2 linked regions of the Nothobranchius furzeri genome follow. The protein of the gene in region 2 binds, or shares a complex with, the protein of the main gene of each other region. Links are inferred from orthologs where the notes say so. Each region holds a gene or a part of one and is shown on either strand. Other genes may lie near its edges.

Evidence for each region.
Region 1: the proteins of protein unc-80 homolog (region 2) and protein unc-79 homolog are in contact, whole or in part, in a cryo-EM structure (PDB 7W7G), measured with the Mus musculus proteins. The link is inferred for Nothobranchius furzeri from reciprocal best matches to the Homo sapiens genes UNC80 and UNC79. Residues at the interface, in NP_780719.2 of Mus musculus: Gln23, Thr24, Trp27, Ser31, Leu34, Arg35, Pro36, Ala80, Pro83, His84, His87, Ser94, Asn95, Asn180, Ala183, Leu187, Phe190, Leu191, Arg337, Leu340, Gln341, Pro342, His343, Arg1317, Asp1320, Glu1321, Asp1324, His1545, Val1546, Asp1547; in XP_030102533.1 of Mus musculus: Thr120, Tyr123, Ser127, Ala130, Thr131, Leu168, Ser169, Ser172, Met175, Ile176, Gln179, Tyr180, Tyr207, Tyr211, Gly212, Pro213, Ser214, Val390, Cys391, Glu394, Glu402, Phe405, Arg472, Cys541, Asp917, Phe920, Ser965, Glu966, Phe967, Ser968.

What each region holds. Positions count from the first base shown.
Region 1 is NC_091758.1:31,573,709-31,576,882, reverse strand, and holds the end of protein unc-79 homolog, read right to left. Parts: intron 1,960-3,174; coding exon 1,776-1,959; intron 1,694-1,775; coding exon 1,490-1,693; intron 1,412-1,489; coding exon 1,334-1,411; intron 1,254-1,333; coding exon 1,212-1,253; intron 1,124-1,211; coding exon 935-1,123; 3' UTR 587-934; downstream 1-586. UniProt on the Homo sapiens protein: Auxiliary subunit of the NALCN sodium channel complex, a voltage-gated ion channel responsible for the resting Na(+) permeability that controls neuronal excitability.
Region 2 is NC_091742.1:61,474,484-61,478,140, forward strand, and holds part of protein unc-80 homolog, read right to left. Parts: coding exon 3,626-3,657; intron 3,556-3,625; coding exon 3,290-3,555; intron 2,689-3,289; coding exon 2,554-2,688; intron 2,459-2,553; coding exon 2,320-2,458; intron 2,189-2,319; coding exon 2,092-2,188; intron 2,017-2,091; coding exon 1,846-2,016; intron 1,760-1,845; coding exon 1,667-1,759; intron 1,381-1,666; coding exon 1,162-1,380; intron 1-1,161. UniProt on the Homo sapiens protein: Auxiliary subunit of the NALCN sodium channel complex, a voltage-gated ion channel responsible for the resting Na(+) permeability that controls neuronal excitability.

The DNA.
Region 1 (3,174 bases), on a different chromosome or scaffold from region 2:
ATTAATGTGCTGCTCAGCTTTCTGGCCCTGCTGTCATGTCATCTGTTATTCTCAGACAAGAGCTTTGTGGTAACAAAGTTAGATCTCACAACAATGCTTAATCACAACAAACCGCATTAGTCCAAAAGGTAATTGTGTTTGCTTGGTATATGCGTGGGCCAATCTGTTTTGTTGCTGCCAAAGAGGAGAAGGGTGGAATAGGTGGAGAGGATGTCGGGGGTTACAACCAAAATAGTCTTGTTTACCTCCAATGTCTGGCTCCATGTTATCGAGTTACAAAGCCGCTGCCGCAACTCAGATTGGCCTCTGATCGATCTGAGCTCTGATGGCAGCAGGCAGCATGACTGACTGTCTGACAAGGATCTAAGACAGCAGCTGGGTAATGCTTGTCATGTCATTTTTCTGCCGTCGTCTGAGCTTTTGGGTTTCTCGCTCAGAGCAGCAGACTTCCAGAGCTGATTTTATCGCACCTGCATTGTGGGAAACCGGACGTTTTCCACATCAGCGAGGACATCAAAGGGCAGAAAATGTCACATTTGAATTTGGAAGGGGTTGGCGACTCGGACAAAATGACAAAGTGTCTCGGTGTTTAGAAAAAAAGTATTTTTATTATACAGCCGGCGGCCGAGGAACTTAAAAAGTGACAGGAGATCGATGTGACAGCGTGAGCGGATAATTTATAAGATTCAACAATCATTTTACACCCTGGCTATGACTGATGTGGGGTAATAGAAAAATCCCCTCAGTCATTTCGTTACCAACACAAGCCTGTAAACACCCGTTTTTTTTATTAGCATAGATTTTCTGTACACGTTATATTAAAGGTGCTGAAAATATTCCAGGTAAAATGACTCCGTCTGTGCAGGAGTCCTTTTGTGAGCACAGAGTTCAGTCAGGGCAGGTGCATGCAGGTGTGCAGTGACCACAGGGGAGGTCACATGGGGTAAAACTGTGAGGCAGCCTCCGACGACTGGATCTCCACCTGAGCCATCTTGAACTGGGTGCACTGGAGCCATTTTCGAAGGGCGAACGGCGGCGCCCCGGACGCCTGACCCTGCAGACACTGGTGGTTGACCCTGTTCTGGATGGCCTGAAGACGCAGCTGCAGTCCTGCAGATAGATGCTGGCAAAGGAAGGAAGAGAATGTCTTACTTTGAAATTATAAAACAGGTTGATGCTCACTTCCTGTTTTGGATTCATTTAAGTCCTACCTTCAGGTTTGACTGAATCATGGGGAGCCACATCGGTATCAACTAAGAGAAAGAGTGAGGATGATTATGATCTAATTAAATGTGAGACTCATAAACAGGAATGGTTGAAGTTAAAAGAAAACCTTGACGAAGATGGTCGAGTTGCATTCCTGCAGAGCTTCCATCAAACTGATGACATGAAGACAAACCATCTCCACCATCTGGGAGACACATCAGAGTCAAATCAACAAGTGCATCAAAAGCAGTTTCCAAGTTTAACAACTAAGTCAAACATTTACCACTTTATTGTGCGCCATGAGCTGCAAGATGCTCGGTGTAACCCGACTCCAGAACTCCAGGCCCGTGAGGATCGCGCTGGACGAAAATTCGGTCTGGTTCTGGTTTTGCAGGGACGGCGCGGCAGCCGCCTGCTCACAGTAGATAGTCCACAGCTGGGCAAACATGAAGGCGTGGAACAGGGAGCACATGTGCAGCACCGACGTCTGAGGACAAAAAAGGCATTACAAAGGCATCTAAACACAGGTGGCTGGAGTTAGCCGTGTAAAGGGACTTGATCGGCCTGACCTTTGACTGCTCTGGGAAGCCAATCAGGATGACAATGAGGTGATCTGCGATGTGTGAGCCGGCATCTAGAGGGATGGGCATGCAGGAGGTGGAGCCTTGGTGCAGAGCGCAGTGCGTCAGGGAGCCCAGCAGCAGCCAGGACAGCTGACGGATGTGGGACACGCACTCGATGAATTCTTTTGGCCTTCACAGACGAACGGGTTGAGATGTTAAATCTGCACAGAATTCCTTCCCAACTATAAAATATGCTTCCTGACAAAAGGAAACTTTACTTGTAACCCTAGTTTTGTTGCAGATCATTCTGATGAGACACGGCTAAGCTGGGCGTGCAGTTTAATATTGGTTCAGTTTACACAAAAGCATATGGAGAACATTATTAGGGTTATTTTTAGACTGTTGGAGAAACATGAAATGACAAGAGGCTGTTGCCAGGGAGTTCTTATCAGTCGCAAATGAGAAACATGAAGCAGCTTGTCCAGGCAGCAGCAGAACCTGGATCTCTATGTTACAAAGTGGCACCAACCATGTGTGAGGACACTACAGCCGTTCCAAAGATGGACTACAGTTGTCTGTTACTCCATTAACTCACCAGCTACATGAGTGTTGATGAGTTTCATACTAGAGAAAACAGGAGATAGAGACAAAGCTTTGGCTCCAACAAACACCAGTTCCATCCCTGATCACTCCACATGCAGCATGTCCTCATTTGCAACCACTTGAGTATGCATGGAGGGGTTATTGAGAGAACACTTTGTAGGACTAAAATAAGGTAAAATACCGCACCAGCAGCAGGCTAAAGGAGAAAATGGTCTCAGATTTGTCATTTCTGTAAAGAAGTTAGCAAACTGTGAAGAAATAATAATGAACAACACAGATTGAGGTTTATTTGACTCAATACAAAGCTTAGAATCCTTGTTTAGTCATTTATTCTGGAAACTGTTCGATAATCAGAGTAATCCATATGCTGATATGCTGATCCGGAGATCTTCCTGGATGACAACTGGTAACGGACTGGATCCAGTGGATGTAGAAGCTTACAAGACTGTACACTTTTAAAAAGCCCAATACTTCTCGCAAGACTTTTTCCTGTACTGCTGATATTTTATTTTTCTTAATAAAAATGCTAACAGGCTATCTTTTAAAGCAATGTTAAAAGTCTCCCTCCTGCTGGTTGAAAGGAGAATCACAACCGTCGTAAACAACCCTGCCGGTGTCGGTACAGGATCGGCTCGGGTGCAGGATCGGCTCGGGGTCCTTCAGCTGCCGATGATGTCACGTTACTGCAAATCTACTCGGCTTTCACACATACGTTTTGGAAGCAGTTTTGTTAATATATTCTTGTTTGTTAACATCTAAATGTTTTCTTTATGATTGTAATTTGTTAATAAAACACCATATT
Region 2 (3,657 bases):
ATAGGGTTTATTACTCAAGTAAGGGTAAAAAAAAGTATCTGATTAGAAGGCTACTTGAGTACTGAGTATCATCTGGTCTAATATTTTTAAAATGATGACATCAAACAGACAAAAAATAAGAAGTTAAGGGCAAATATTGGTATTTTAAAAACTAAAGGGGAAAATGTAAACATGTTGTGACATCCATTGTTCCCCTTAGGTGCAAGAAGGTATATCTCTTTTTTTGCCACTTGGGTGGATGTAAAGCAGTTGGGGGAACATTTATCAGAGGTGAACCAACAGGAAAGCTAGTGTTACACTATTTGTGATGTAGAGGAGCAGTGTGGCAAGGGAACTGTTATGAACACATTATTTTGACACACATACACACCAGATATATGCATCCGACAATAATTTACATATAAAAGATATGATGAAATTCTTGTTTTATTATAATGTTGATCAGCTGTGGCAGCCATCTTGAACTGAGTTGGCTCCAAAATGTATTCGATTGTCCTATTAAAATAAAAATTTCAGAAAAATTCAGTAATTCATTAGCCTAGTGTACTAGACCAAATTCTTGCTTTGCAAAGTTTGGTCTAGGCACGCTCCATTGGAACCTCCGCAGCTCCTACCAGGACTCTGGCTAGCCAATCACAGCTCTCTAGAGGGGTTTCAAACAGATAAAGAGCTGTGATTGTTCCATAATGGTGGGCCAATCATAGTGCTCTATCTGCTTAGTGAACAAATCACAGAGCTTTATCCGCTTTGTGGGCCAATCAGGGCACTCTATATGCCTGGTAGGTGGGATGATGCAACAGAGTGAAACAAGAGTATGTCACATTCATTGTCCAGTGGAATGCAGAGATCATTTGAAAGACAACGGTAGAACCCGCCCCACAACCGAGAGCTGTCAATGGAGCGTTGCCAGACTAAATAATACATTTATTTAGTCTGGCTTGCCAGGCTAGTCGTTCATGGGATGTGTTTAGAAACTGATTGTAATGGCCATCTCTAATCTGGTTAAGGTTGAACATTTATTGGTTGTGCATGTACATTTTGAGGGTTTAAAATGTTGCCAGATGTTCATGACACGTTTTGCTAACATTATGAAAAGACACAAGTGAAGACATTACTACAAAAACATCAGCCTTCTTTTGTCTTGGTAAAAGACTCCATTACCTCATGTGGGATTTGATATCCAGCAGCTCCAGAGCTGTGACCCGAGGCTCACCAGCAACATTCTGAAGGATTTTGAGTCGTGGTCCACAGTGTTTGTAAAACTCTGTGCAAATGTTTAACAATGACTCCCGTGGCCGGCGGAACTCCTCCCTCGCATTGCGCTCATCTAACTCTTCCTTTGGCATGCCTTGACCCTCCTCCACCAGGTGGAGATTGTCCCTATGAATGCAAACCACCTTAAGTTATGAATTTTTAACTTTTAACCCTCCCACTGTCCTAATGGGTGTGACCCCGCGAGGAAAGTTGATCACTGAGCAAAGTTGATGGTTTATCCCTTGGGTCCATGTGGCAGGGGTGAGGAGTGAGCACCAACTCACCCCTGCCACGTGGACCTCAAGGGATAAACCATCAATCCTGCTCAATGGTCAACTTTACTCGCAGGGTCACCCACAAAGACAGTGGGAGGGTTAAGCACCAAAATAGCAGAATTTTAATTTTTTCCAACCTAGTGTTGATGCCTCCAGACATGGTATGGTTGGCTGTGGTGCCACCCTTGTGGCCTTGATCACCACGGGAGATCTGTGGAGCTGTCATTGGCCTGTGAGAATGTTTGGATAAGAAAATAATCACTGAAATCATACGAAAGAGAAATCTACAATTCTTTGCAATAAATGCGAGACAAACCTTGTAAGCGACTCTGAGCTATATAGGAGAGCCTGCAGAGATGTTGCTAGAGCAGCGATGGCGGCAATCTCATCCCGGGCGGCAGATGCAGATTCCATGGTGACCGTATTGCTTTTGAGCTTTTGGAGGTAGCAGGGAACCAGAGCTTCCAACACCATCAGCATCTGGAAACTGTTGATGCAAAGAATTGCAATAGATTATTTGTAGAAAAGTTGAGAAGAGAAGGTGATGCATTGGCGATATTACCTCCTGAAGGACTCAGGAGCATAGGCAGCCACAGTAACACACAACTTGATGGCCTCACTGATAGAAAAGGCTAAGTCTTCATTGCCATAACAGAAATCTGTGAGATGACAAGAATATATTAGTTAAAAGTCAAATGAGGCTCAAAACTACTATTGTGAGTACCAGTTATTGTTTATGCTGATGCTTCAACCAGATGCAGCAAGCGTGAGACAAAGTGTTAAAGATTACCAAGAGAGCAAAGAGGTTTTTCAGCCTTGACCAACTCCAGAGCGTCTAGAGCATCCAGGGTTTCCCCCTCCAGAGAGACCATCAAGTCAAAAAGACACTGAGCTGAAACTCCTTTAGATAGACCAGTGCTAGTGCTTGTCTGGGGTGGATGGTACAATAAAGAAATAAAACGGAAAGCTTAACACAATGACCTTGAAATAAAACACCTATTCATGTTTCAATATGAGGTCTTACAGTGAATTCCAGCAGTGGAGCCACACTAGCAAACAGCTGGAGGACAAAAGGTTTTCTGTGGAGGATGTAGAATTGCCGGCAGCAGAACTCGATGCCCTGTCGCAGCAAAGGGTTGCTCTCATAGTCCGCATAGACCTGTTAGAGACACCAAAGGAGGACGCACTATTTCAAAGCATGTCTCCTAACATGGTTATGTTATATTTTTTATCATTTCCCATTCAAGAAGTTTACAGGCACAACATAATTTTGTCTGTTGTGTTACTAAATTATTTCGCAAAGCACTAGGTGAATTTAGAGGGTTTTCTAGAGCATTTTTTGCCATATCGCTTGACATGCTCTTCACATACCAATGGCAACCAATGCATTAAACGTTTGTTTAAAAAAATAGTTACAGGATTTAAGATGGCCGACAAAGCCAACTGACCCAAGAAAACAGAAACATGCCTCGGTCAATTTAAAGCAATTGAGCTAAAGTTCAGAGTTTTGATAGCTAAGAGTCATTCACAACGCTCCGAGGGCTAACAAATTTTCTTAGATCTTGCTATTTTGAACCAGATTGGTCATAACGTTATTCTTAAGATTGACCAAACTCAAGTTGATCACTTCTTAAAATGAGACAATCTTAGTTTCAAGGCAAAATAAGTGGTTTTTGTGTTTTGTTTTCATTTTGGGCTACATCTATGACTCTCTGCACACTCAAAACACACCAGATTTTGTGCCAACATTAACATAATACCTGAAGCATTGTTGGGAGGATCCACTGGTATCCACTCAGGGAGAAGAGGTGATTGAAGTGGACTGCTGTGTTGATGGCGGTGGCAGTGTATTGCCTGAGGAGGGAGCTGTCCTCTGGGTGTAGCAGCAATGCCCCGTTAAAGACGTTGAGAAACAGCATCATCTCATCGCCCCAGGGGTACTCACTGGGCATGCCCAAGAACATCTCCTCCAACAGCTTGATCCACAGCACCTTGTGAAGGGTGTCAAAACCAAACAGCTCCTTACCTGGACAGCAACGAAGAACATGGTCAAACCTCCCCAACCTTTAAAATAATCTAGAGGTTGCCTGCTTCACCTTGTGGCTCATTAAAAAGGGAAAACTCAGCA